Linked DNA regions of Oreochromis niloticus. The main gene of each other region encodes a partner of the protein of the gene in region 3 in a complex. Links are inferred from orthologs where the notes say so. Each region holds a gene or a part of one and is shown on either strand. Other genes may lie near its edges. The genes, in order: usp39, snrpd3l, snrnp200 and snip1.

Region 1 (7,590 bases), about 6.8 Mb from region 3:
ACTGCATCTTAAGGCGTGCAGTCATTTTAAAGAATTTGAATAAGTAACAAATAAAACAAACAAATACCAAATTTCCCCTTGTGGGACAATTAAAGGATTATTCTATTCTATTCTATTCTATTCTATTCTATTCTATTCTAAATAAAGTTATAAAACAAGCAAGAAACTCACCAAATCAGGGTGTGGGAGTTTTTTGGAGAAGATCCGCATGTAGCCTTGAAATGCTTTTGTAATGATTGCTATGAGGGGAGAAGGAAAAGAAAAGGGAGGTTTAGTGGCCTCAAATTGACGTGTAACGTGGAACTGATTTCTTCCACCTGCTCACACTGACTACAGATCACAATGTTGTCTGCAAACATCATAGTCCACAGAGCTTGTCCATCACACCGCACATTCGCAATATGATTTTGTGCAGAGACTGCAGATTCTGTATGAAACCCGAGGTTTGAGAATGAAAAAATAGAAATTTAATTAACCCTTAAAGTCATTAAGATGCTTTTAATATCACAACAGAAGGCTGTAGATAGACTACTGCATTAGAACCAAACAGCATCAGAGTCAAATCCACTTTGATTTTTCTTCCACTTACATGGCTTCTTCTTTGTGCCTCCAAGAGCACCATGCAGGGCATTTAAGAACCACGTCATGAAGTCCACAGCATCACCTGCAGAAGAGAAAAAACAATTAGTTAGCACCACAACCTGTGTTGAAAGCCTACCTGAGACCAGAAAGCACAATTTAGTGAATGTAAAGTAATACCTTGCTTTGTAATCTGGAAGTTCTTTTTGCTGCACAACACTACAGCCTGCAACATCTCGTGGGGTGACACATGGGCCTTAAAGTTTCTTGGATTCCAGAGTTTGCGCATCAGCTCACCAAACCTCTGCACCAAGAGAAACATGATGTCTCCTGGGGGCCTGCGGATTCCTCTGTAGTTTTCCTCCTCCAGGAAGTAATTTCGCAAAGGTGGAACATTAGAAAAAGCCTTGAAAAGAGAGACACAAATGAGAAGGGAGGATATTATTCCGAAAATTTACAACAATTAATAAAATCTAGAGTGGCAGATATCCATACCTGTAACACCACATTGGCATAGTCATTGGCTTTGATGTTGTTGAGCCCTACAATGCCCGGTAAGTAGGTGGTACCGTCATAGGCTCTGTACAGTTTACCCTGCTTGTCCAGCCCTGCAATGTGCTGCTTGGTGAAAGTTGGCTTCAGCACGTACTATAGAGAGAAGAAATGTAAGCAAATCAGCTGTTTGCGGTAACTGATACAAAGCCAGAGCTCAGAAATAATGACAAAATCAAACAGAACATGGTTATTATCATATCAGACTGAAAACACTGGTGCTTCTTCAGTCAATCCAGTCACAATTCAGACTGGAAGATATTTATTCACTCAATTCAGCTTAAAAAAAAAGTCACTAAAGTCAAAATAATTTGAATGTTACCTAACCTTTAGCATAGATATACATTTTACACTGTTGATTCTTTTTCTTCTTTCGGCTGCTCCTATTAGGTGGCATCAAAGCGGTTCATCTACCTCTTCTCATTACAGCCCAGTATATTCCTTATCCCTCCTCTGCACATGTCCAAACCACCCTCAGACTTGTCTCTAACTTTGCCTCTAAACTGCTCAACTTGAGCTGTCCCTCTGGTGTAGCTAATGCTGTCTATCCTGGTCACAGAGATTAGTGAATACGGTCCAGTGAGTCTAAATGCTCAAATTGCCTCCAGTCACCAGATCTCAATGCAATGGGATGTGATGAAACAGGAGCCACACATCATGGATGTGCAGCTGACAAATCTGCAGCAACTGTCTGACACTATCATGTCAAAATGGATCAATTTCTCTGAGGAATTATCAAACACCTTGTTGAATCTCTGCCATGAAGAATTAATAAGCAAGCTCTGAAGGTAAAAGGGGTCCAAACCTGTAGTACGGTAATAAGTTGTACCCCATAAAGTGGCCAGTGAGATTACATGAATTTTAGTTTTAGTATGAAAAACATTACTTACTGTGATATCTTCTAGTGATGAATCGATGATCTCATAGTTATCTGGCAGACAGTAAAACTTGAGTGTGTGCAGATTGAGGAACACATGATGGGTAAACTGTACGCTGTGAGTGTAAGCGTGGGACTTCAGACCTCTTCCTACAAAACACAAAACAAACCCCACACAAATCAGTACAAGTACAACAAGGTGTCTGATCCCCAGTTAAAATGTCCATTTGCCTACCTTGAAAGTATTTCCCACATATAAGGCAGGCGTAGACATTGATGTGGGAGAGAGAGATGGAGCACAGTTTCTCAAAGTCGAAGTCCAGCACACTCCTGCAGGATTGACACACAGACTTGAATTCACCTGCAGAGGTGGAATACAGCTTTAATAGCAATGCACAGTCTACTCCGACCTACCTGTTTATGGTGTCAAGGTAAGGACAGTGGCGGCTTCTTCGGTCTTCTACTGCATGTCCTCGTCCAACTTTTGCTGCCACTGCAACGTGAAGTGACCAAAGAAGAACAAATGTCAAGCTAAACCATGTACCAACAGTTCAAAGCAATGAGCTAAACATGCTAACTAGCTTAGCTTTGAGGTTGTGAGGTATGCTTGTTTTCAAACACTGGGTGCTTTAAGATGAGGGGTATCGTTTTGTTAAGCACATGGTAGAGGCACTTATTGCTCCGTCTATGCGTTACTGGACAGGCCAGTAAAAAAACCAACGCACCACTGGCTAACAACAACGCTAACTGCTAACCAAACGCAGGGCATACGTTTGAGGAATATACTTACCTCCGTCTTCATTGTCATCATCATCATCTAAATCCACCTCTCTTTCTCGCTTCAAAGAAACCATAGCAGCAGATAGACGGCGTCAAAACAATTTAGAAGCTAAACCTTTACGTTATTTGGAGAGAGTGATGAATGGCTCAAGCACTGTGCGCCTCGAAACTCGCGGCGATTGTGCCTTGTAGCTGTCGAGTAGCAAACTAAAACCTAACCCGGAGTTTGAAAACCTACTAACGCTATACCCACCCTTAGTCACTTACCAAAAACTAATATGATAACTTGCCAAATTCTAAAGTATAACTGGATCTTTGTTTGTTTTAAATATATATACAGGTTTGTCATATTTGGGTATTTGTTTATGGTGCGCAATTTAGTTATAATCATTATTTATTAACTCAGGGAGCATTATAATTGGACAACATGTTATCGTTAGCTAGCCTTAGCTATATAGCTTTTTGACCGTTCACAGTGCTCTGATTGGGACTTGTTGCAGTCAGCAGTGCATAAACACTGACGTCGTTTGGAAGCGGTTTGCTGAAATGGATGTTTTAAGAGAAGAGGGGGTCCATGAGCTGAAATACAAACCAGGTGGTCGCTTGGATATGAGCCACGGCTTCCTGCACCATATCCGGAGGAACCAGATTGCTAGGTGAGTTCCTCAGCTGCTATTAGCTTATGCTAGTAGGTAGTACACTAGGTCATTCAGTTAAAAACATCATCGTTATTATTATTAGTGAAAAATAATTTTACGATTAAGTAAATATTATCTTGTTATTAACACACACGCTTTTACATTCGGAGCTAAAATATATGGGGAGGTCGCAGAGGCCTGGTGACCAGTTCTCTTTGATTTAAGATACTGAGGAGCAAAATGATAAACAACTGCATACTGGAAAAAACTGAGTTCAATCAGTGCGCGCATCTGTTAACAGGGGGATCATTTTAACTTGTTTTTGACAGAAAATACGACAGACCCCAAAAATACTAGGAGAAAAATTAAACACATCACATAATGTTTTTGTTTGTAGGTTTCTTTGAAATGCATTTCAGTAAAGCAAGTAAACCTGGCACAAAAAGTAAAGAAAATCTTTGTTTGGCTTTTGAAAATAAGTGATATTTCACTGGAAAGTCTGTTTGTGTTATTTTAAATTGTGTCACTTGTTGGTTGTGCCCATGACAAAACCTGGAAAATCTTATCTGCGAATCCCAAACAGTTTTTTTTCTGCTACTGACTTTTGTTTTGAGATTCTGATATCCCGGATACAGACAGGTGTCTGATTGTTGGATTAGCACCACCTGTAATTGTGGACCTTACAGGGCACGTGCCAATAGGGCAACTTCAAGCTGGTGTAGTCCCTTATCCAAATCAAAGGCCAAGTTTTATTTGATGCGGGATGTCAGACAGGCCACGAAATGGGCATCCCAAGAAGACGACGCCATAAGAAGACTGTTTCTTCACCCTGTCAGCACTTTGGAACAGAAGTCAGTCTTCTGTAGATTTGCAGTCAAGGTTTGCAGAACAGTATCACTGACTGTGCTCTACCCAGAAAATCCAGAACAGACTGCACAGGCCAATCTCCGGTGTCATAGGGCTGCCAGGAGGCCTGCCATGACTGCTGTTCACCATCAGGCACATTTGTGCTGCTGTTGGCAACATGTGCACTGGGAAACTGTGCTGATTGCTGCACCGATAGGATAGCAGCTTTTGGTGGAGGCAGTGTTATAACGTGGGGCGGCATCTCCTTCAGTGGAAAAACGAGGCTTGCCAAAATTTGAGTCAATCTCAATGCAAGAGATACTGAGACGAGATTCTGCAAATGGTGGCAATCCCATAACTCCACAGTCTAGGAGGGAACTCTATCCTCAAAGATGACAATGCTCACCACAACAGAGCGGACCACCTCAGGTCCAGTTTTTGGGAGTGGAGAGGATGGAACGTCCTACCTGAAGTCCTGACCCCGTTGAACGGTTATGTGATCAGCTTGGATGTGGACCAAGCCGGTGACCAGCATAGAAGGTGCCAAGCTGTTGAGTCTGCGTATGGTTCCACGTGCTGCATAGGCCCATATTTCTTGAAATAAAAAATTGCTAAAAAAAAAAAATTTAAGACCTAAATCATCCAGTTCAATAGGCAACACCAAAGAAGAGTCAATAGCAGAATAAGGCTCTTTGGTATTGGCAGAGAAGATTTAGCAACTTTTTCATGGGCGCAACCCCCATACTCACCTCTGCTGCTCATCCCATTCATTTGTTAGGAAAAATGCATTTTTCCTGAGAAATGTGGGACTACTGAAGGGGAAATAAAAAGGCTTTCCAACGGTATGAGATTTATTCGCAAGATGCATCGTTACAAGAAAGAAATAATGGACCTTACTTTTTGTGCCAAATTTACATAGGCACGACTTACTTTCATAATGCATTTTCTGAACTATACAACAAACTGTTAGAAATGTGCATAAATGCATATGTAGGCATGAATATCATGCCAGTTCAAAGAAAATCCGCAAATTACATTGATGGCCTGTATGTAAGCTTCTCACCACTGTCTGAAGACTGGCTGACTGGTAAAAAGGAGTATTTTCTGTCAGTGTCTTTCAATTTTATTTAAAATGATGACATCTGTATACAGTGGTTAGTCAAGTCAAAAATCACAATATAAAAAACAGTGTCACTCCATTAATGCTTGTCCAGCCCTTCAATGTGTTAATTTTATTTTTTATTTATTTATTTGGATTTATTTGTTTGTCACATTTTCTGCATTAACTAAATTTTGATTCCCTTTCTCAAGAGATGACTATGATAAAGAGGTGAAGCAAGCCAAAGAGCTTCAGCGGCGGAGACACACCACAACCCCTCGAAGACCCCGTCGACCTGACATGCAAGTGTACCATCCTCGAAGAAGACGTAAGACTGATGTGCTTTCTCTTGACTTTTGTGCTGATAGTGCACCCATTAGCGGGAAGATAAAGTGTTTGTGTGTGTGCATGCGCTCATTATTCAGATGGTTCAGAGCCAGGGGCCGGTGCTGATGCTGAAGAAAACGAGAGTGGATCAAGCACAGAGACTGACGCCAGTGGGACTGAACTCTTTTGGCTTGAATATGAAGCTGATTCTGGTACCATTACATCCATCCTTGTGCACAAGGTTAATGCCGATTCCTTTTTATGATGTTTTCATAAAAATGTTTTCTTTGGTCATTTCCTGTGTGTAATTCCTTTAAATGCCTTTTGTTTCTGAAGGAGGACAAGCCTGAGAAGGTGGTAGAACGTGTTGCAGAGAAGAACATCCTGGATGCAGCCATGAGGGCAGCTCTGAAGGTTCGAATTCGAAAAGAAATTGACAAAAGGCGAGACAAACGCTGAGCAATCATCAGATTACGACCATAAAGGAGCTCCACGCAAAGAGGAGGAACACTTCGTTTGCAGTTCTGCACTCCTCCAGAGCACTCTTGTGCATTAAGGGTATAAGAAGGATCATTTAGAGTGACTGTCAGCAGAGATCTAACATGGTGACTTATATTCAGGCCATTTTTTTTCTTTTGTAAGAAGGAAGAGCACAGTTTATGGCTGGGAGTTGTTTTCAGGTTCAATTGCAATTCTTGACCTTGGACAGTTGTGCTATTCTCTGATTCACATATTGGGGACACGTTTAAGTTGACTGGACATTTTTAAAATTGTTACTTTTTAATAGTTACATTCAGAAGGAGCAGGTACTCTTCTGCACAGAGCCCTAAAAGCGTTGTCCTCCATGTCCTGTGATTCTTGTGTTTACAAAGATTCTGTTTGTTAAATTAAGATTTGAACTCCTTGTGTGAAGCGTTTTCAGCTGATCATCGGTCTGTCTGTCATCGGTCTGTCAGCAATCCTGTGTTTAAGAAATGAGGGAAATTAGTTTTGAAGTCCGAGTCTAGTAGATGACCTTGTTGGGTTGGTAACTGTTCTGTAGGTTCCAGTGCTCCGATTTATTTTGGATTGTTGAGAGACTTATTTTTGATACTGTAATATCTTTTTGAGGATGACACTTTACATATAAAATGTATTAAAGCCATGCATTGCTGTCCAGTTTTATGGTGCTGAGCACCACTTTTTATTTTATTTTTTTTTTGTCTTATCTTATATGACATAGATTCTGATTTTTAAACATGAATATAATACTGGAACATAGAAAAATACTGCATCAGTTTGATTTGACAAATGTTTCACATCAAATTTTCAGCAGGTGGCAGCATCAGTCATACAACCACGCAGACCTCTGCTGTAGTTTTTCTCCTGTTTAAATCAGGTTTTATGCTGTACTTCTGTAAAAAGAATGCATTTTTCTACAGACACCTACTAAACAGTTTAGTTTCAATAAAAAGGGGCACTTTGAATTGTTCTAATATTTCCCCTCTTTTGACTTTTTGACTAAAATACTGTGAAGAACAGAGGGGCAACGAAGAATTAGGTGGCAAGTTGCTGTACATGGAGTAGCGCCTTGGGTTTGTATCCATTTCAGGATCTTTGTGCACTTCAGTCAGAGCTTCTCTGTCCTCTGCTTTGTCAGAAATCTCATATCTTATTGGGGCTGCTTGTCCAACAATGAATAATAGCCTCTATACCAGGGGTAGGGAACTCCAGGCCTCGAGAGCTGGTGTTCTGCAGGTTTTAGATCTCACCCTGGGTCAACACACCTGAATCAAATGATTAGTTCATTACCAGGCCTCTGGAGAACTTCAAGACATGTAGAGGAGGTCATTTAGCCATTTGAATCAGCTGTGTTGGATCAAGGAACCTGCAGGACGCCGGCTCTCAAGGCC
Region 2 (7,561 bases), on a different chromosome or scaffold from region 3:
CGATGTTTGGCTGGAACACAGGTGGGGAAAACTTTTTGCCAGTTCACAGGTTGTTTCATGTTGTTCCATGTTTCACACAGCATCAATGAAAGGCATTGATGCTGTGTGAAACATGAAACAACCTTCCTTTACGTAGTCAAAATCATCCAGAGGAGGCGTTTTGATACAAACAAGCAAACATTATTCTTGTGTAAGGGAGGATGCCCCGCTTCCGTCTGTATATCTTCTTACTGCTTATTACAACAATTCTATTGCATTGTATAGTATAAATGGATAAATGCAACAACGATGTATTTCTAGAAAGGTCTCGTGTTCTTATTTGCACGGGCAGTGGCAAGAGAGACATGCATACATTTATTTATTTATGTTTTCATGTTTAAGTTACATATTTAAGCATGTTTAAGTGGTCCTAACTGCTGAGGAGATTGTTTAGGAAAACTGAACTGAAACCCTATAATTTTGCTTTTGGATGAAACTGGCAATAAATCACTGTTTTCTTTACACAGGTTGGAACTCCAATACCACTGCCACCAAAAGCCAAGGCTGCCCTGAAGGAATGACTCATTGCTTGTTTGAGGGAGTGGTTCCCCTTGACTATATGGTCTATTTCAATTTCTTTGGCTGCGTGTTGGTGCCCTTGGTGATAATGTTGGTCATCTATATCCATATCTTCATGGCAGCCCGCCGACAGCTTCGACTGATGAGCCTCAAAGTTGCACACGTACCTGCTCCCGGACAGAAAACTCCATCTTCTGGCTCATCTCGTTCGATTCTGCAGAAGGAAGTACACGCTGCAAAATCGCTGGCTATTATCGTTGGTTTGTTTGCTCTGTGCTGGCTTCCTGTGCATATTATCAATTGCATCAACCATATTTGCCAGGGCTGTGAGCGCCCACACATCTGGGTGATGAACATTGCAATCATTCTCTCCCATGCCAACTCTGTGGTGAATCCCCTTATCTACGCCTACCGCCTTCGAGAGTTCAGATATACCTTTCGCAAGATTCTCTATCAGCACATCCTGGGAAAGAGGGATGGGCATGTGTTCGGGGTTGAAAGTGCTGATGGCAGAGGTGTAAGGAGCACTAGTATCATGCAGACATCTGCCCGTACGAGTAAAGAGGATTTATCATGTGGCACAATGGTAAATAGTTATGTTCTCGAGTCCAGTGCTGAGAAAACTACATCAAATGCCTCTCATGAGAGTTTAGATTCTGTACCTAACAGTAATACACCCAACGGACACCAAAAAGCAACTGGCACCCCATCAGAAGTACAGCATCAGCCAGGTATCTTGGCATCTTCTGCACAGGAAGCAGCAGCGTCCGCCACATATCTGGGAGGAGCAACAGATATCTTGGAGTTGAAAGACAGAGGAAGCTGCATTACTTTTGTAAATGTACAGGCACTCCCCTTAAAACAGAATGACTGTTCCCTTTCTTCAAAAATCACAGAAATATCATGACAAAGACATTTAGTTATTTCAAATATATTGCTCTCAGAACACACAGAACGTTCTGCAAACGTGAAATTTCAGCAAATCAGCCTCGACAGCAAATCTGTTTTTTTATGTAAATTTTTTTTTTTTTAGTTTGGAGTTTCTTTTTGTTTTATGTGCACTTTAACGTTTAAAGATAATATACTTTTTGTAATGTGCAGGTTTTTGCTATCTGTGTTGTTTGCATGCCATCAAAATTAAACATCTTTAAATATGTCACAGTTTTGTGGTGTTTTTGTGCTGCAGCACTGAACTGAACTTTGTCACTCATCCAGGTTATGATACTCTGAAGAGCTTGAAAAGAGAAGAAAACTAGACTTCTTTAAGTTGTGAAGATGTTTCACCTCTCATCCAACAGGCTTCTCCTGTTCTAAAAACACCTTGGCTGAAGTGACCTCAATAGGTCACATGGCAGGATGTGTGGTAGACCATACTAGCCCCTAGTGTGGGTTGTCCACTTGGAGGTGGTTGTTGACCCAATATTGATCATGCGAGTCATCACATGAGCCAAAGTGTGAAAAAGATGTGGGTCATCGTCAGGGGTTATGGGGGAAACCACTCAGAGACTGTGCCCCACCCTATTATGTGACCTATTGAGATCATCTCAGGGAAGGTATGAGTAGGGGTTAAAGCACCTGGGAAGGGATCTCAAGACTGCATTGTAGGTGGCTGATAGCTAGTGTCGTAAGGCACCACCTCTGTTCAATGATGGTCATTCACAAGTGGCTGCTTGGTTTCTCCTTGATGCACTGCGCAGCATACGCTATGTTGCTCAGTTTGTTTTTGGGAGTTTGGTCCTTGAGATCAACCAGTTTTTCTCTAAGGGTGTTGCTGGGTCTGAAGTGCACTATAATATCATGGTTAGAAGAAATTCTCATGAGTTTCTCTAACAAACCTGCTACGAGATGGCAATAGAAGGCCTCCTTTACTCCTCCTATAAACCTGGCCTTATGTTTGGGAGTTTTGTTCTTAGAATGAACCAGTTTTTGTCTGAGGGTGTGGCTAGTCTGAAGTCTGAGGATCATCCACATACCTGTACCAGTAGCTAGGTGCAATCCCTCTGAGGAAGACCAGAGCTTTATTAGAGGTTGGCTACAATGGCTGAGGTTGGATAGAGGTTCCTGCCCGTGGCACATCTAGGATTTTTTCTGTAGAAAAACCTTTTTGTATTTAAAATATGTGGTATCCTATGTGGAGATGTCTAACAGTGTGCAAATCTGATGTGGGATGTAGCAGATTCTGTTGTGTAAGGAGCTGTAGTTGTTTTCTGACAGTCTCCACTTCCTCAGTTGTAGCTCTACAAGTGAGAAGTGTGATGACATCACAAGACTTACAACTAAAACTCTGTTTGTTTTGCTGCTGTTGTGATCAGCGATTTGATCAGTGCCAGGCAACACATGTTCACTGTTGTTTACGAACCATCCAAAACAAAGAGCTTGTTTGCCTGTACAGATATGACCCCATATGCCTGTATTGTAGATGCTTTCAGAGTAAGGCTTGCTTGCATCACACTATGAAAAGGACACACATACCTAGGTAAAGTACATACACATGACCACAGACCACTCTGTAAGAAATGTTTACAGAGCAGCCTGGCACTGACGCCAGTCAATGAGCCTAATGCAATGGAAATCAAATGATGGTTCATTTGATGGTGTCTTTTATTATCCCATAATGCTTTCCCTTCCCTCATTAAAAAGCTCTTCCACTGTGGCAAAGACCTACATTAACCAGTTTTTATGTGCCTTAAAGCAATCCCAGAGAGAGGTCTCCAGGAATACGGGTACGTATCTAACTTGCACTGTGTTTATTCATAAACTTAAACGTATGCATTGTAATCATGCAAGAGGGGAATTAAAATGGGTGAAACCATTTCATTTCAATGGTTTTTTTGTTGCATGTTATGATATTTTGATAAGCATGAGATAAGGGTTATCAAAATGATTTGGTTATGGATATTACATAGCTGAGTCATAAAAAATAACAAAGATAAGGGGCCATTGTGGTATGATGACCTGGAGGAAAACAATCCAGTGTGTCCCTCTATAGTGTGTCATGCTGCCATAAATTACACATGTGTGACACCGGCATGCAAAAGGATTAAGCTATCTTTTAGAAAGAAATGCAAATTAGCAGAAACTCGGTAACAAAAGATTTATTGCAGCAGAGACCACAGTGTTTATTTAAAGAGTCATACTCTGTGCATTCCCTCTCTGGCTGATGATTTCAGTCAGCCTCATAAATTACCCACCTCCACCAATGCACCGTGTAACCATTGCAAGTACTGCATCCTTTGTTCTACACCTCTGATGTTCTTCTTTTTAAACCCCTCAAACTTAAATTTGTTAGTACATTCTTTTTGTTGTTGTTGGGGTTTTTTTTTCAAATCTTAGTTCTTCTGATGTGACTTTTTCTTTGCAGCCTGGCTAAATGGGTCACCATCCTTACTGTTAATGTTGAAACTTGTGTTTTGGTGATTCTTGTATCACTTAAAAAAAGTTACCAGAGAATCTGAGAGCAAACTATTTCTCAAGCTGGAGACTCTGCTGAATCTATCCAGCTGCTCAGTTGTGCACCACGGCCTGCAGGGAGCTACTTTGATGCTGTTCTGTTCTGTGAATGGTAACTGTAAAAGTGTACTTTCGGGACGGAATTTCCCACATACGATAGCCTTTGTTACTTGTAATAATAACAGTATGACTAGATTCACAGATAGCTGATGAGAGACAGGCTAGAATATCTGCTCATTCTTTATTCTTTATTCCGATTCACACTAGTTGTCCCTTGGGTCTAAAGATAAAACAATACAAAACATCCAACCATCAAGAGACAATCAGTCAACACATTGGAAAAAAAATAACCCATCAAATAAAAAGAGAATAGTTCCTGCAACTTATATGACAAACAATGACATATTATGAAATAATAAAAAAATACAATAAATGGCATCTATCAAAGATCTACTGATGATCACTTGATGTATCATTTTTTTTCGCCAATCGGTGTATCCAAATTCCTTGTGAACCCGTAAAGCCATAAAAATACAGATCCCACAATGCACTGCAGAGCATCACAGGAAGCATTCGATTGAACCGCCGGTGCATTGTGGGAAGGCGGAAAAAGGGCTCAAAAGGTAGGGAACCGCGTCTGGCGCACGTTGCAACGTCAAAAGAAGAAGCAATAACAAAGAAACTAGCTTTTACGATAGACTCCAGGTAAGAAACAAAAATACTCGTAATTCAACTGAGACTGTAAATTTTTTCCATGCTCATTAGCAGCGTTGTTTGTTTCTTGTGCGTGTGAATCAAGCGCGTTCGTTCAGGAGCCAATATGGCTCCGTCTATTTGCCGAACTAATAACTTATTACTGCAATAAAGAGGCAAGTGTTAATGTTGAAATCGTATTTGTGTCATTTTAAGTTTAATTTGTTACACATGGCATTAATTGGGTTACATTATTGTATGCAACCAGGATATATTATTGTCCATTAGCCTAGCTCGCTAATGAAGGCTAATTCCTCTCGCAGCTTCGATATTCAATGATTTGACTGAGAGATTCGCTTTATTGATCAGAAGTTAACTGTAGCTTGCTCATCCCATCTTAACGAGGGTCACTGATTGTTATATATTAACTCCCAGCAACTCTTTAAACAGTATAAGAGAGCTGATTATCGTTACACAGGCAGTACTCGAGTGAAAAATAAATTGGCGAGGATAATGATGTGTGGACAAGTGAAATGGTTCCTGATTGCCTCTCTGGTGTTTCTGTAACTAAACGCATCGCAAAATTAACAAGCCAGTTAGCCATACAGTTTGGTTACAGTTAAGTGTGATGTTTGATGAAAAAAAAAAAAAAAAATGCGTTTCCAGGAGCTTACAGCCTGTGAATGTGCACAGTGTAACATTTCTTCTGCTAAATTTTGTTTTCCAGAAACATTCTTGAAAAATGTCCATCGGCGTTCCAATCAAGGTCCTGCATGAGGCAGAAGGCCACATTGTGACCTGTGAGACCAACACTGGAGAGGTTTACAGAGGCAAGCTGATCGAAGCAGAGGACAACATGAACTGCCAGGTCAGTACATGATAAAGAGTGGAAAGTGAATGTGGATGGTGCTCCTCCTTACGGGGGTCCCATCAACCAAACTGTTGGTACTGTATTGTTTTTATGATATTTTTTTTTTTTTTTTTTTCCTCCCTTAATTAGAGTAATCAACAGTTTAGTCTTTAATAGGCTGCTTGATCATTTGAACAAGTTTTGTTTACTTTATTTTCAGGTAAATGCCCCTAAATGGCTTAAGGTCTTGTAAGGCAACACCGATAGAAAAGCTTAATGAGGCTAAAAGGAATTGCATTACAAATAATAGTGTCTTTGTTCTCTGCGTCTCTCTGTTTTCCCTTTAGGTAAATGTAAAAGGACATCTGAATGTTCAGGTTCAATTTGTGGTGTTTTTATTTTAATTATAACATTTATTTCTAGTTTTTTGTTTATATTTATTTTTTTCCCCCGTAGTTGTTTAAAGGTTTCCAAGCTTTCCACCTGATGGTGTCAAAATAAGAGTGAATTGTGCTAATCAAGTACTGGAGACCTAGATCTGGTAGCTGCATTAGTAAGAGCCAGTTAATTAAAAATTGGTCCCAGATCAGATGGTAAAAATCTGTTCCTTTTATGGCTTTGTAAAGTTTAGATAACTACTGTTGACTTGAATAAAACACTAAAGAGCAGTTTGATTACATTTGTTGAAAGAATGATCTTTCTGTTTCTTACAGATGTCTAATATCACGGTGACTTATCGGGATGGCCGCGTGGCACAGCTGGAGCAAGTTTACATCCGTGGCAGCAAAATCCGCTTTCTGATTTTACCCGATATGTTAAAAAATGCTCCTATGCTGAAGAGTATGAAGAACAAGAACCAGGGATCTGGTGCAGGAAGGGGCAAGGCAGCTATTCTTAAAGCACAAGGTGGGTGAAAATTCGCAGTGGATTGATACACCTGTCAGTATGTTCAGTAGTGGGAGCAACTGATGGTGATTTAAACTCACTGCATGCATTGATTGCCTTTTTGTGTTTGTGCAGCATAACTAAATCCTACCATGAGAAAAGTGCTTTCTGTCAGTGTTGCTCTGTTCCTTGTGTAATAAGTACAGTCTTGTCATAGGTGCAGGGGATCTGTCAAAAACACTGACTTAAATGTTTCATTGTTGTTCAATTTGTCTTCACATCCCCTTTAAGATAGAGCTGATATTTTGCCAAGCGGGTGTTAAGGATACAAAATTAGACTTCACTGTACTTCTCAAAGTACTGAATGTATTATTAAGGTTACTGAACAGTTTTTCTGGTTCAGTGAGGTACTCTACATTAAAAACTGATAGTATGCCATCTTTGTTTTTTGTGCTCTCCAGTGGCTGCAAGAGGACGAGGGCGTGGTGGAATGGGAAGGGGAAACATCTTCCAGAAGAGGCGATAATTGCTCCAGCTATATTAACATTTTTGCATTGTATAGTTTTTGTTTCCCCCTTGAATTTGATATGTTGGATATCATTTGAAATCTTGTACTTTGCAGTCAGTTGCTTTAATTTCTTTTTTTTTATTAAAATAAAAGTTTTTCAATTTGATGTGTCCTGATGTTTTTGTTTTGTTTTTCTTCTCCCACTTACAAGAGATTCACTTGTGCCAACAGTCTTATTTCAAAACATCCAATATTTAATAAGGAATGTACTAGGAATGCGGTGTTTAGCTTTATCCAAGTAATTTCAGTGTTAAACCCTGGGTTTTCTGTACTATAAAAGGTTACCTGAGTATATTGCCATGTTGCCTTCTGCTGTGGACCAGATAAAATCGGGCCTAAAATCACCACATACTAACCAATCAATTCTTTGGAAATTAATTTTACTATTCCAGAGGAGTCCTTGGCCCTGTGCAGATGGCAGCATTTAAAGGATTTCAGCACCATCCAGTCTTTTTTCCGTAATGGGCATCAGTAGTAAGTACTGCATTGATTCTTAAATGCTACCTCTCTTGTGTTGGCTGCAGACCTTGTATAAAATGTGCATGTAGCCTAAGCCT
Region 3 (7,284 bases):
AAACTCACAACAAGTAGTGTTCCTGACAGGATGATTTGTAGTTAATATATTGAAAGTGTTATATACCTCTCCATGGTCTATGTCCATTGCTTCCAAGTCATCGACACGGGACTTCCTCACTCTCTCCCTGCGAGACCGCTCTTCCTAAAGGACGTAAAAATAAATAATGTGACAAACTGAGCCTCACAAAGAGTTCACATAATCTCACAATCAAGCCTCCTTACTCGAATAATATCCTCCTTCTCCGTCTCTTGCAACTGGTAGAGAATCTTTGACAGCTCCTGATCAGACTCCATCTTTCCTATGATGCGCTCCTTTTCCGCCTCACTCTGAGCACTTGCCAGCATGGTACAGTACTGAACTGTGTGTCAAGGGAGAAGAGAAAGAAATCAGTACCTTTTCAAAGACATTAGCTCTGTAACAGTTTCACTCAACAAAGCAGACTTACTCATGCGACGATGCTGACGCAGGATTTTAATGAAATCAAAGGTGTTAAAGCCGAGGAGCAACACCAGCTGGTTCTCACACTCTCTGTCGTCGCTGGCAGTCTGTAAAATAAGAGACGAGAGAATGATGTTGACAAATACAAACTTACCTGCTCTAAACAAACAAAAACACAGGGAACGTCACAAACCTACCTTGAGGATTTCTAAGACCTCATCTGCCTTTTTTTGTGAGACGATGGCGTCATCATAGAACCGGCTGAGCTGACGCTGGAGCCAAAAGGCGTCGATGTCTCGAGGATGTAAATCTTTTTTCTTCACTGTCATCACGTCACCCGCACCACCGAGCTAAGTGAAAGGTAATTTATTAGTTACTGTGCAGCACAGTTGCAATATCTCACAAAGACTAAACACAAATATGGGCTTAATAGAGTAATGCCACGAATGGAAACTTACATTAGCTGAGAGAGTGGAATCCACAGCTGCCTCCACTCCTTCACTGTCTTCATCGGAGTGTTCATCTCGTACCTCGCCATACTGGTCTTCATCAACTTCCTGTATGTTAAGACAGGAAAAGTCAGTGACACAAACTAATCAATCAGCTCAGCTGTAAATCTTAAGAGCTACAAGCCTCACCTCCTCATCAGACTCAAACTGAACATTGACACCATACGTTTCATCAATGTTGTCATCTGTGGATAAAAAATACCACACATAATGAATATTTTTAGAGAAAACTGATGGATCCTGTACAGTTTTCATTCAACAGTTACTCTGAATGTGCCTACCCATATTCTGCAAGTCTTTGTCCCCCCCATAGTCTGTGATCTTTTTGCCCAGATTGACTAAGACGTGGTAGCGCGTGTCATCAGCAGGTCCGAGAAGCTGCTCTACTTCCCGTCGCCTCTCTTTGTCTCTCATTTTGTCATTCTTGAGCACAGCCAGAACTTCATCAGCTGCTCCACAGAGAATATCACGCGGCTGTAAAAACGTAATGAGATAATGAGTAAAACATGCAAGATGTAGCGGAAACAGAAGCAGAATACTTCAAGAAAGCAGCTGTTGTGGCGTTCACTGACCTGATCTCCCAAAGCAGCATGGATGAAGCTCAGTAACACCTCATATGTTTCTCTGGTCTCTTTGGTTTTTGGTTTGTACACAATGCCCACCATCTCATCAATGCCTTCAGACAGAAGGGTAAAGCCCTTCATTTTGTTAATGTCGTGTCTGTCTTCATCCCTTTTTCTTCTCCTGGATAAAAAATAAAAAAAAATAAAAGATGATATGTTAACAGTAGAGCCATGTTTGGCCATTTGAGTGGCAAACATCTTCCAAGGCATGTCACATATGTTCACTTTTTCTTTTTTTCTTGAGAATTGCCTTGAAGAGACATCAAACTTGACAGCTGTTCTTCCCCATACTTTTATTTTCAGTTTTTCAAAATTAAGTTATCACGTGGAACTAATGAAGTGATTTTTAATACCGGATTATTTTGTTCTTTTTTTAAATCAACCGGTTTTGCCTTCAAACCATAGATTCGACGAGTTAAAGCCTATATTTCTCAGAGAGTTGGGGCCACACTGACATGACAGCATCGCACAGTAGCTGCAGATTTGACAACTGCACGTCATCCATAATGCAAATCTCCTGTTCCTCCACATCCCAGAGGTGCTCTATTGGACTGACATGTTTAAGAAACCAGTTTAAGACTATTTGAGCTTTGTGACATAGTGCGTTATCCTGCTATAAACAGCTGTCAGATGAGGGGTACACTGGAATCATAATGGGATGCTTAAACAAAAAGATCCCCTACACTATTAGACCACCAGCAGTCTATCCTGCCTTCTTGCATTCATGTTGCTTATCCCAAATACTACCATCCATTTATGTTGTGCATTCAGAGATGCTTTTCTGCATACTCAGACATGATCAAAGTCAACCCACCTTTCTTGTTCATTCTGATATGCAGATTGACCATGCCTAAATGCTTAAATGCACTGAGTTGCTGGCATGTAATTAGCTATTGCACATTTGCATTAATGACAAGGGGAACAGGAACATCAGAGTGGCCGGTAGTGTATATAAATTATGTATTGCTTTAAGTTCACATGAACAATATATGTAGCTGTCTGCACTGACTTTTCTCGTCTCTCCTCCAGCCTCTGAGGTTTGGTCCTCTGGGCCTTGTCACCCATCTTGGTCCCCTCCAGCTTCCCGACCAAGGACAACACCTCACCGGTGGGCTCATCTCTCCGGGTGCGGTCGATCAGAGAGCGATCGGCTTGAAGCACCAAGTTAGAGTTCTAAGAGTTCGGCATAAAAACAGTGTGATGATGAGACAGTACATCAGTCTGCGCTGCAACAGGCTGAAGTAAATGCTAGTTAGCAGTACGGCTAGCTAAACAAGGATAAATATCAATTAATAACAGTACACACCAAACACTTTTCCTGATAACTTTACAGAATAACAATCCCTGCCTCTGATTTTTTATTTTTTTGTCTCACTCTAAACACACTCACCGCTTTGTACTCGTACTGCAAGCTTCGAGCAGTAACATCCGCCATGGTGCTGGTTTTCCCTCAGGTTTTAGCGCACTTTGTGAAACGGCTAACTGACTGTTAATATCCACAGAGTCGACCTCACTCTGCCTGCTTAAAGAGACGCTGTGAACATGAGTGCACTGATTACACTTGTAGCATTAGCCAGTTTTCGAAAAGTCCGAGTTTCATACAACAAAATGCGTTTCGCATACGTTACAATAGCGCCGCTAACACGAGCGCACAACAAGCCGCGCTTTTCCTCTTCCGCTGTCAAAGGTCAGAGCAGGATCATCGATGCAAAGGAGCAGCGCCCCCTACAGGTTGGATTTATTTAGTTTCAATGTCCTATTGTTATGTCAATGTATTCATGGGTATATAAACTTATGTAAACTCGCCAAATCTCCTCTGCTAGCGGCTTATTCTGCTACTGACTCTTTTTTTTAGCTTCTGGTACCCCAGAATCAGGTGTTGACAATTAGACCCTGATTAGCAGCACCTGTGAGCATGGACCCTGTTACAGCGGTCAGTTGGTGTCTGCTCCAAGCATGGCACATTTGACTGATCTGGATAGGGCCTGTGCCATAGAGCAACTTTAAGCTGGTGTCCCAGTTGTAGCATTATCTGGAGTGAGCCCTTGTACCATCTCCAAATTGAAGGCCAAGTTCCATATAATGGAGCATGTCAGAGACAGGCAAAGAAATGGGCATCTGAAGAAGACAACGGCACAAGACAATTTTGTTGTAGCACTTAGGAACTGTTGGCGCTATTCTTTAGATTTGCAGTCATGGTTTGCAGGACAATATGGTTGACAACACTTTACCCAGAAAATCAGAAGACAGGCAATCTCTGGTCTCATAGTGCTGCCAGGAGGATGCCATGACTGCCCTTCACCGTCAGGCCTGTTGTCAGCGACACGTGGAGGAATGTTCTCTTCAGCGATGAGTCCAGATTCTGCCTATGCCACTTGGATCATAAATTTAAAGAGAATGCTATGCTCATTTCTGCACCATAGCGTAACAGACCTATCATCATAGAGGCAATCATCATAGAGATATTAAGATGAGATTACGCAACCAGTGGCAATCCCATATCTCCACAGTCTGGGATCAAACTCTATCCTCCAAGATGACAACCCATGCCATTATCAGAGATTGCCTCGAGAATTTGGGAGTGGAGAGGATGGAATGGCCTGCCTGCAGTCCTGATATCAGCCCCATTGAACACTTGTGGGATCAGCTTTGGGTGCTCTCTTCATGCCAAAATGACCAACACAACCACAATCGCCTAACTTGCAACAGATGCTGGTTGAAGAATGAGACACCATCCCACAACAGAGTACATTGTTTGGCACTGGCGGAGAAGATTTGGCAAGTTTTTCATGGGTGCAACCCACATGCTCAACTCTGATGCTCAACCCACAAATACATTTTCCTTACAAATGTGGCACCATTTAAGGAGAAATAAACAGGCCTTCTACTGATATGAGTTATTGCTAAGACGCATTGTAACAACAAAGAGACAAACACACTTTTTGTGCTAACTTCATTATATTGTCTATCATGCTTACATTATGTAAAATTGGAATAATTTCATAAGAACAACAAAACTTGCCATCCTGTAGTGTCTTCAGGACTTACACAGCAGCCATGTAGTGTTAATACTACTAAAAATAATGCCCCTGTCACTATCACTACTAAAACTAAAAGTAATTATTATTATTATTACTGCTATTGTGTATCAGATACAGTATGCTGATTTACCATAGTAGACATCTGTACCATCACTTGCACAGTATAGTACTACTTAATGTAATAGCCCATTGATAAATACCATACTACTGTACATGCTGAAAGTCTGCATAAAGTTATCTGTGGAATCACTATACCAGCCAAACTTAGCTGTAGACCAATCTGCAGATGAGACACTTTCCTGTGGCACTGGCTGATGTTTATTTGTTTGGTCACATCAATTTGGCAGTGGCTAAGTGTTCAATGACAGTGACAAGGAGCCAACAGACTTTTAAACAGACAAGGCAGTTTTATTAAATTAAAACTTCTTTGTTTCCCTGGCACAAAATAGGGGAAAGGAAATTATAAAAAAAATGTGATTGATTCATATCAGTATTTGCTTTCACTAAATTGTTTCTTTAAACATCATAGATTACATATATTATAGATCCAGGATTGGGACATCTCTAGTCCTGTGTGTTATGCTGTATTTCATTTTTATTCACAGAGGGCAACACAGCGTGTAGCTCCACAAATAGGGGGCAAGTGAGGGTGGCTGTGGTTCAGGAATTAGAGCAGGGCAACTGCCGGATCGATTCCCTGCCTCCTCCAGTCTGCATGTCAAAGCATCCTTGGGCAAGATACTGAACCCTGAGTTCCCCCTTATGCATCCATCAGAGAGCAAGTGTGTGAACAAATTTCACAATGGATAAGTCCATGTTTGATTTGGGATTTGTGTCTACTTCTCATCTAAAAAAATTGAAAACGAAGCTACAACAAAAATTAGAGACTGTTCATAAATGAACAAACTTACAAATTCAGGAGAGGATCACATAATTATTTCCCCCATGTACATTATCTTCTAAGCTGCATGACGAGCTGATGCAAGATAAAGCTTTGAACCCCACACAGGAGACACCACTGTAAAGAGTGGGGTTAAAGTGTGGATGTCCTTTGGGTTCACTCCACTCTAAAGAGTAGTCGTTCTGCACCTTGGGGCGGTGGCTTAAGAGTTGGGAGTTCGCCTTGTAATCGGAAGGTTGCCGGTTCGAGCCCTGGCTTGGACAGTCTCGGTCGTTGTGTCGTTGGGCAAGACACTTCACCCGTTGCCTACTGGTGGTGGTCAGAGGGCCCGGTGGCGCCAGTGTCCGGCAGCCTCGCCTCTGTCAGTGCGCCCCAGGGTGGCTGTGGCTACAATGCAGCTTGCCATCACCAGTGTGTGCGCGAATGGGTGGATGACTGGTTGTGTAAAGCGCTATACAAATACAGGCCATTTTACCATTTACCTTGAACAGTGTGAGATCAATTATTTCTTGGTGTAAATAAACGTCAGATTTATGAAGTGCAAAAAGAAGCATGTACAAGAACTTTTCTTCAGGAACTCATATGTTAGTCTTTGACTGTCATTTTGATCTAAATTAAAATTGCTAAATGAGAAAGATGAGCCTCATTGTGGACAATATAAGCTGCACTGTGAACTCTATGATTAGCAGCGTGGGCCACAGTCTGTGAGCTACAACATCCAAAATTTAATATTTAAAAATATAAAAAAATTACAATTCCGTGTAGGTATGACAATGATTAATGAAGAGCTGTCCAGGTTGGATTTTCAGGTACCTCTGAGGTTATTATCATCCCACATAACATTTTTTTCCATCAACCACCAATATTCTTCTAAAATCTGTTTTTATACATGACATACATGCATTTTAACTGTACAGCCACATATTTGTAAAGCTTTTAGTGCCCTAATACAATTTTTTTTAAACACACTGTTCAGTTTTTGATGAAAAAAAATAAGCTGTTTTTTTAAAAGATTCTCTCTTCTTTTTTTTTTTGCTGATTTCACTACTTTTCCCTGAAGCACTTGACTCATTTGCCAATAAAAGCATTTATTCAACTGTTATGTACATGTTAGTCATAAACATGTGTTTTGGTATGATGTAATAATGGTGTGTGATTCATATCGGGTAAACGAGTGCTTTGAAAATGTGTGGTAAATGGGTTGCACTTACACAGCTCTCACACCCAGATGGCAGCAGTGAGAGCAGTTGTCTTTCTCCACGACACGTTGACTTGTCAGACAACTCTATCACAGTCCCCTCAAACACCTAAGTTCCCAATATATGTATATCATTTTGCTGTGTATGAGAATATTCCACAGTTATGGATGTAAAAAGGGTAGTGAGTGGATGTCTCATATGTGCTTATGTGTCCATTCAATGTAAGTTGTTATCTTGACCCAACACGAGCTGCAAGGATCAAACAGGATTTATTGTAGAAAGTGTGTGAAAAGAAAAGGAGTAAGATGAACTTGACTTTAGTTTCACTGTTGTTGTTTTTTACTGGAAAGTACTTTGGTCAACCATGTTGTTTTTAAAGTGCTCTATAAATAAAGTTGGATTGGATTGTTGTCTTTAAAGAGGAGAGTACTGTATGTTCCTGTTTGTGGCCCCATATAACTTCCATTGCCTTTGCACATCTGGCTACAGCATCTGTCACTTTCCACTAGTCGGAGTCTCTGAGGCCACCGAGGCCTCGGTCACACCCAATGACAGACAAATAGGGAGAGG
Region 4 (7,626 bases), on a different chromosome or scaffold from region 3:
TGAGGAATAAAGGCGGTCCTATCAAGTATCGACTTTCAATAGTACAGAATTGTACAAACTGTTTTTGCCTTACTGTATGTTTGCATGTCTTTCAGTAAATTGTTGCACCCATTTTCCTAGCAAAATATAAAGAAATGAAGGGATACTCAAGACTATTGCAGAGTACTGTAATTAATAGGCTTAAATTATCATAAACAAATTATATTACCCACTATATAGTACCCACTTGTTAAATAATTATGGTGCCTATTGTCCTCCTTAAAACGGGACATTTTGTGATAGAAACAAAACGGACACCAGTTTGCTCCAATAAAACTCTTCAAAAATTTATTTACAGTACAAAAATGAAAATTTACTATGGGTTTCTATGAATGGGCAAAAATAAGAATGGTGCATACAGATTCCAGTAGTGCAAGGGAACACAACAGCGTTAATAATTTTTCCTGCACTACGAAGCAAAGACAAAAAAGGAAAAGGAAATATCTTTACATCTTGTACTGCAATGTTTACTCTGACAATAAAAATGCTCTTTAAACATGAATGTTGAGTTCACATTCCAATAATGTAATGTACACTGACACATATAGCATGGACATAGATGATTAGCTATGCTTTGCACTCAGTGCTATGGCGCAAAAAATATAGAATATATAACTATAGATTGGTGAGATATCTTTATCTGTCACTGAGCACATCTTAATGTAATGCGAGCACTGTCAGAAGTAAGATCCGTCATGTATCACATAGACATTATACAACCTGAGAAAAAGTCTTCTTTGAGACAGCTGTGGCAGGTTCAAGCAAGAGATCAGTAATTACAGAATATACACCACCAACAAATCCTGTTCCATTATTTCAATCAGTTCCCGCATTTACCAGTTCAAACTTATTGCTCCATTCCCTGCAGAAACAGTTGTTTGTCCTGTTGTTGTTGTTTTTGATGATGATGTTATCTAACCTGAATGAACTTAGGCAATCAAATAAGTGGGAACGATTTACTCATCAAGGCCCTCGTCTTCCTCTTCCTGCTTGGCATCCACCTCGCTTGTGTCTGAGAACTCGTGGAGCAGCACGTATTCACGGCTGCTGAAGCCAAACTTTAGGACATCTTTTTCTTTGAGTTCATAGTACCGCTGGGGGTCGATACGCTGGTTGTTCAGATAAGTGCCATTGCCAGAGCCAAGGTCAATAATGTAAGGCTTTACCCTCCGGCCCGTGGTGCCATCTGCCCGCGTAAACTCCACCAGTCTGCAGAAATGAAGACAGAATGGTGGACATGATCTATTTGCAAATGAGGATCATGATTAAAGAGTCATTCAACATATTGGACAACAACAATAGTAAATAGTAATCACCACAGATTGAGCACGTTTTTCAATCAAAAAGAAAACCAGAGTAAAAAAAAAATAAATAAAAATTTGATGATGACTGTTCTTCCTACCTGTACTGGAATACTGCATGTTGCTTGGAGCAGGATGGGTGATCAATCGGGATATCAGCAATTCTTCTCTGTCGCCCCAACAAATAGGCACTCTGTCTGTGAATATACATGACTGGAAGAGCCTCATCATTCTTGAAAGGGTACAGTCGCCATCGGCGCTTCGGAATCCGAGCCTCAGGCGGCTCGTTGTACTTGATCACCACTCCCCGAAATGTGTTTGTGTCTTCTGTGAGTGCCCCTGAAAGTTCGAAGTTTGGCTTCTCTTTCTCAGCAGGAGCAGCGCTTGCCTCATCACCCTCTTCTTCTGACCTCCCGAAGTCTCGCTCTTGGTTTTCTTCACGTCGCTGGCGATTTTCCCTGCGTCTCTCATCTTGCTGCTGTCGTTCAGCTTGTTGAGAGGCAAGAGCATTTCGCTCCCTATGCCTCTCTCCACCGCGCTCTCTCTCTCGTGGCCTATCTGATTCCCACCTACTCCGTCTGTCCTCTGGTTGCTCATTTCTTCTTCTTCTCTCGTCGCCGCTAGCTCTATGCTCATCCCGTTCCTGTGACATATATTTAGAGAATACTTACACAGTTACATTGTTGAGTAGTTAGTTATATTATACTCCATTACCCTTCAGTATGGAAAAGTGGGCTCTATTTTGTTTGACATATTGTCATTACTGCCAGATGCCTCTGAAAAACATTAAAATGGGACAACTGTAGCCCAATGTTGGGTCTCTACACAGAAAACATACTGCCTCAGACTGTTAGTACTATCTCAAAGTACTTGGGTTACACAAGCTTCTGTGTGATAAATTCCAGATGAGTACTTTATACCACCTAGATCACTTTACACTCCAGTGGTGCTGCTGAATTGCAAACCTGAAATGTTTCCCAATAATTTTGAAACTAATCACCCGCTTTACTCTGACATCCCCATGGTGAGGACTACGACTTCTCCTTTTTCTCGGAGATCTGCTGCTTCTTCTGGCGGGAGAGGTTTCCCTTCTACCTGGTGAACGGTCCCTCGTCCTTGCAGGTGACCTAAATGAAGAACACAAGAGAGTATTAAGCGACCGTTCACATGACATTTCTCACCGTTAAGATGCAACTAGTGGCCGTAGCTAGCCCAAGTAAGTACTACAGCGATATACTCGAAAAAACGGACTCTGTCACGGTTGTCAAGTTGATCAATATGACATATGTGGCAAAATTAAGGTGGTATGATAACTTTAGTGCACACACCGGCTCGTTCCTCCTCTCTGTGGACTGGAGTTGCCGGGGGATCTTGACCTGGAGCGGCGTGATCTCTGTGGCCTAGCAGGGCTCAGTTTCTCCTGCTTTATCTTTACTTCGGCTTCACGCTCCGGACTTTCTCTTCTCCTGTGCCGCTTCTCTTTGGCCATGCTTAAAATAATTCTCTCAAATCGACCGTTGTATAACCTAAAAAGCATACATTTTCAACCACACCACTGTATGTACAAAAAACAAAAGCCTCGGCATGTAACAAACTTCACCCGTTACGCCGAGATCACGCACTTCCGCTTCCTGAGGTTCACCGAGAATTAAGCTCCGCGTGTGTTCATGTTTCACGTTGGTTCCGACATGAGAAGCCGATCAGTTTATTTCCTGTACAGCCTAAATATTTTAGTGTATTGAAAAAGCTGGAATATTCTTTCATTATTTACATATTCGTTTAACACACATTACTTTTACTAGATGCAGCCTCTAAACACAATAAAAAAGGCATAGTAAAAGTTGCACAATGTGGTAAAAGCAAAACAACAACAACAACAACAAAATCACATGCCCTTGGGCTTTTTAAAATAATTTTTTTTTAAAAAAATACTGATAAAAATGTATTTATCTCAAAGGGAATTTATAAAAAAAAAAGTGTCACTAGCCTGTACTCGCTGAAGCTATGCGCTGATTCCGCTCGCACACATTAGAACGTAACGGACGCTGTTGCCAGGACAACCCAAACAATGAGCGTGAGCTTTCTGTAACTAAAGGCTAAACCAAGAAGTTTCCAGTTTTACTGTATAACTTTATTCTATCCCTCTATTGTAAACGACAATGATTCCTCCAGCTGACACGCTGTTGAAATACGACAATCCAGTTCTGGTCAACAAAAGCACAGACAGAAAATCACCAAAGGTGAGTTTATCAAGCCAGCCGTGTTTATGGCACAAATCTCAGGGATAGATTTGAGATTAATGTAAAAGTTATGCTATTCAAAATCCCGGCAGTCTGATTAAATCTTAAGATAATTATACTTACATCTACTAATATATTTGCATGCATATATAGTTACAAGGTGGTTCTGTAAGGTGTATTTTATAATAGATTTACGAAAATGTATCAGTCATTTAAAAAATCAAATCAGGGTAATAATATGTTTGTCTGATAGTTTATGAAACATCTGTCACTACAGGGACGCCCTTTGAAAGTAAGCCCTCAGCAGCCCATTGACTCTACACCTGTTCCACCACCTCCTAAACCAAAATCAGCCTCTACTGAGGCTACTAAGCAGGAAAATGAGGAGATCCTCAATTTAATCCTCCCACCCAGGTACAGTTTTTCCTATCTATAGCATGTTCTTCAGCAAGTTCAGAACTTTTCAAATTTTCCTCTTACAGGGAGTGGATGGAGGGAAACCAACTGTGGGTGCAGAAAGTATCCAGTACACCTTGTACAAGAACAGATGTGTTGCACCTAGAGGAACTCCTAGACACAAAACTCCAGGAAAGACAGGCCAGAGAAACCGGCATCTGCCCTGTCCGCAGGGCGCTCTATTCCCAGTGTTTTGGTAAGGAAGAAGCTGAGATGTTGCTGATTATAGAAGGTACAATCAATGCATATAAATACAATTAATCACATACGTTTTCTTGTCATTCTTTCTTTTGAGATGAATTAATCAGACAGGTAACCATCAACTGTGCTGAGAGGGGTATGCTATTGTGGCGGGTCAGAGATGAGATTCAAATGACCATTGCCGCCTACCAGACCGTCTATGAAAGCAGCATAGCTTACGGCATGAGAAAGACACTGCAGGCTAAGAAGGGCAAAGCTGATATGAAAAACAGAGTAAGGATATCATGTTCCTTATGAGTTACAAATACAGGGTCACAAAATATATATACATTTTAATACTAGGCAATTTATAGATGATGGGAAATTTACTTTGCCATTCATGTAGTTCAGCTGTCATTTAGCTAGGAGTCCAGCAGAGAGCACCATTTCTCTATTTTACAGTTACTGTACAATGACAGTGGCTGCAGTGCTCTTTACAGGATTGACCCCGCATCAATAACAAACTCACAAGTATGCTTTGGTATACGGGCAGATTTTGGAGCTAGAGAACGAGAAACAAGAACTGAAGAAGGCGCTGAATGAAGAGAAGGCTAAATGTGAAACAGTTGAGAAGATAGAAGCTGAAAAACGACAGCTGGAAGAAAAGAGGCACAATGAGGAGATCCAGCTCCTAAAGAGAACCAACCAACAGCTTAAGGTGACTTTTTCAATTACACATCAGAGAATAATTATTGTAGATTGTATTGTCTAAAGATTTCTTAACCACCCATCTTTTCTTTTCAGGCCCAACTGGAAGAGATAATTGCACCAAGGAAGTAAAAAAAAAAAACCCCAAAACTTAGCTGGCATTTCTCTGTACAAGATTGTATTCATTTATAATTCATCTTATTGCTTAATGATACATTAAAGTAAAAACTTAGTGTAATTTACAAATGTTTTATTGTTCTGGCATAACAAGTACACTTCAAACAACTACTGCAGATTGCTCTTGAACGTCAAGAGAGCAGTACACTTGTAAATGATGAATGAAATGTCATTCAAATACAGTTCTGCACTGAGGGGAAAAAGTTATAACAGTCATGAAGATAAGGCATCAAGTTGATTAAGACCACCTTAGTGTTCCACCTTCTGCCAACCTTTTTTTTTCCCCAATGAAAATAGCATCAGGCTAATTTAAATACAGATTTATTACATGTGTGTTTTATTTTATTTTATTTTATTCAACTCCAGTCTAGTGCTTCGATTTCTTGGTATTTTGACCTTCTGTGCCTGATGCTGGGATTTTTTTGTTCTTGTTCTTGTTCTTCACATTGTGAGTTTCATAATAACGCACGCCAACTTTCTTCGTCCTCTGAGCACGATCCATTGCTCTTCTCTGTAGAGAAAGATAAAAGAGAAATAGAAGGAAAAAAAAAGTGAAATCTTCTTCTAAAAAAGACCAGAGCTTTTCATTTCCAATGTTACATCAGTAAGAAGAACATTCACCAGAGAAATCTGGCCTGTTTGACATCAGAGAGAACAAACACTGCATACCTGTTTAGACGTGAGTCTGTTCGGCTGGGCCAGGTCCTCACCCTCCTCAGCTTTCCTCTTCTTACCCCTCTGGTTTGGAGCTGAATTCAAAGAAAGATGAACAGATCTGATGTCACTGCCTGAATGTTAACTTGACGTACTCATTCAAATATAAAGTTTGTGCAAAATATCATGTTGATAAATATCAGTAATTGATTATTCTGTTGGAACTGCAGAAGGTTTATTGGACCTTAACCACATCTGATAAAGACTTTCCCAAATTATTTTTACATCCAGAACCATACAAAGTCATAACAAACAAGCTGACTGACTACCTTTCTTCTGTGCTTGCTTAGTCGCTGCTGACTGTTTAGTCTTGATGTCTGTGAACACTTTGTCAGAAAGCGCCTTAGGTATCCTGTCCAAAGAAATGGAAAAAAGTAAATCATTACAAAACAAGGCAAACAGTTTATCCCTGTTGGGGTCAGCTGAAATGAACAGTAATTAAATTAGGCTCAGATTAACTATACAGCGGTTACTTGACTTTGTTCTTCAGTGTGTGCTGAAATTCAACACAAGCATTAAAGAACACAAAAGACACAAAAGTTATGGCATCAAAACGATGACTGCTAGTCATCAGCGGCTTAAAGGCTGGTTAGCACGGACCACCTAAAATGCGTGGCATCTCTATGTCTGACAACTTCACATTACGTTACTGGAGGAAACACAATGGTGGCAGTACACAAGACAAAGAAAATATGCGAGTGAGGTTTGGGCTTGAGCAGACTGACCGGATTGCAGAGAAGCGATTGGATTTGGCTCGGTCCAGAAACTGCTTGTACTTGGCGATTTTCACATCCAGCTCACGTATGACCTCCCGTGAACTCTTGCTGCCGTTTGTCTTTTCAGTCTGAGAGGTTGTTGGCTCAGAGATGTCAGTCCCTTCATCAACTGGTTCAACACTGGTCGCATCTTCCTCTTTGCCTTCGTTTTCCTCTGTGCCCTCATCTTCCTCATCATCAGAGCCAGAAAAATCTGACATGTCCAGATCAGGCATGTCCACGGGAACTAAGTCTTCCTCGCTGAACTCTGGAGCTACACTGATTTTGCCAAAGTTTTGTCGGACATTAGCCAGAATCTTCTGGACCTGTTCCTTCTGTCTCTGCTGTTCTTCCTCACGTTCCTCTGAGATGGCGTCCGGATTGTCTGGCTGTTCCTTCTCCACATGCTCTACTACCTCCGACGGTCCTGCAACTGGCAGTGGCTTCTCATCCTAGCGAAAACACAGCAATAAAAACAGGTTTACACTGAGGGCACAGTTTGGTGCACTTAAAAAGCCCTAGAGAGAAATTCAGTGTAATCTTACCTCTTGATCTCCTTCAGGTCCAGGGGGTTTCACAAAGAAGGGGATACGTCCTCTCTGCCAGTCATTCAATACCATTTTAGAGACTGTGGCGAGATCTGGCTCACCGCCCTGTACAAAAACAAGAAGAGATTGCTAAGACATCTTAAGACTTAGTGATTTAAAGCTGAAGTAGGCAGCAATAAATAAATAAATTTAAAAAAATATATATCTAGTGTTTCAGAGGCAGCTGTAGCCCTGCAGCTCTTCTGGACTCTATTTTCAGACTTAAACATTTGGCAGTGAAAGGAGAGAGCCCAAGCAGAAAGAAAGTTTGGCGGTACAATCAGTTAAGCAGAGAGTTTCCATCTGGTAAATAAGAGCTCACCGTGTCCTATGTTGAGAATGAAGTGAATGTAACTTTTTTAAATGCATACACAGCACATACATAAGACCCAAGCTCATCTGAGAGGGAGGGCTGTTTATGTTTCAGTCCTGCCTTCTCTAGATTTCTGCCTATGCCATATTTCAGAGA

What was found.
Region 1: snrnp200 (region 3) and usp39 share a complex: the UniProt entries of both Homo sapiens proteins name them as parts of the U4/U6-U5 tri-snRNP complex. The link is inferred for Oreochromis niloticus from reciprocal best matches to the Homo sapiens genes SNRNP200 and USP39.
Region 2: snrnp200 (region 3) and snrpd3l share a complex: the UniProt entries of both Homo sapiens proteins name them as parts of the U4/U6-U5 tri-snRNP complex. The link is inferred for Oreochromis niloticus from reciprocal best matches to the Homo sapiens genes SNRNP200 and SNRPD3.
Region 4: snrnp200 (region 3) and snip1 share a complex: the UniProt entries of both Homo sapiens proteins name them as parts of the minor spliceosome. The link is inferred for Oreochromis niloticus from reciprocal best matches to the Homo sapiens genes SNRNP200 and SNIP1.

Annotation. Positions count from the first base shown.
Region 1 is NC_031977.2:19,023,289-19,030,878, forward strand, and holds the start of usp39 (ubiquitin carboxyl-terminal hydrolase 39), read right to left. Parts: upstream 3,002-7,590; 5' UTR 2,863-3,001; coding exon 2,799-2,862; intron 2,502-2,798; coding exon 2,423-2,501; intron 2,339-2,422; coding exon 2,244-2,338; intron 2,159-2,243; coding exon 2,022-2,158; intron 1,228-2,021; coding exon 1,075-1,227; intron 986-1,074; coding exon 760-985; intron 665-759; coding exon 590-664; intron 240-589; coding exon 172-239; intron 1-171. Other genes in the region: lg12h2orf68 (UPF0561 protein C2orf68 homolog), read left to right, coding at 3,335-3,444, 5,584-5,699, 5,797-5,939, 6,035-6,157.
Region 2 is NC_031972.2:24,898,313-24,905,873, forward strand, and holds snrpd3l (small nuclear ribonucleoprotein D3 polypeptide, like), read left to right. Parts: upstream 1-4,555; 5' UTR 4,556-4,713; intron 4,714-5,428; 5' UTR 5,429-5,443; coding exon 5,444-5,569; intron 5,570-6,264; coding exon 6,265-6,457; intron 6,458-6,897; coding exon 6,898-6,962; 3' UTR 6,963-7,110; downstream 7,111-7,561. Other genes in the region: adora2ab (adenosine A2a receptor b), read left to right, coding at 1-21, 507-1,465. UniProt on the Homo sapiens protein: Plays a role in pre-mRNA splicing as a core component of the spliceosomal U1, U2, U4 and U5 small nuclear ribonucleoproteins (snRNPs), the building blocks of the spliceosome.
Region 3 is NC_031977.2:12,273,148-12,280,431, reverse strand, and holds the start of snrnp200 (U5 small nuclear ribonucleoprotein 200 kDa helicase), read right to left. Parts: upstream 3,009-7,284; coding exon 2,964-3,008; intron 2,747-2,963; coding exon 2,583-2,746; intron 1,695-2,582; coding exon 1,523-1,694; intron 1,425-1,522; coding exon 1,232-1,424; intron 1,136-1,231; coding exon 1,080-1,135; intron 999-1,079; coding exon 900-998; intron 792-899; coding exon 639-791; intron 549-638; coding exon 449-548; intron 362-448; coding exon 225-361; intron 145-224; coding exon 67-144; intron 1-66. UniProt on the Homo sapiens protein: Catalyzes the ATP-dependent unwinding of U4/U6 RNA duplices, an essential step in the assembly of a catalytically active spliceosome. Plays a role in pre-mRNA splicing as a core component of precatalytic, catalytic and postcatalytic spliceosomal complexes.
Region 4 is NC_031976.2:27,045,095-27,052,720, forward strand, and holds snip1 (smad nuclear-interacting protein 1), read right to left. Parts: upstream 3,003-7,626; 5' UTR 2,878-3,002; coding exon 2,669-2,877; intron 2,468-2,668; coding exon 2,341-2,467; intron 1,984-2,340; coding exon 1,442-1,983; intron 1,249-1,441; coding exon 996-1,248; 3' UTR 306-995; downstream 1-305. Other genes in the region: dnali1 (axonemal dynein light intermediate polypeptide 1), read left to right, coding at 3,500-3,580, 3,858-3,994, 4,063-4,232, 4,332-4,510, 4,770-4,934, 5,021-5,056; gnl2 (nucleolar GTP-binding protein 2), read right to left, coding at 5,469-5,612, 5,771-5,850, 6,085-6,167, 6,541-7,022, 7,116-7,223. UniProt on the Homo sapiens protein: Required for pre-mRNA splicing as component of the spliceosome. As a component of the minor spliceosome, involved in the splicing of U12-type introns in pre-mRNAs. Down-regulates NF-kappa-B signaling by competing with RELA for CREBBP/EP300 binding.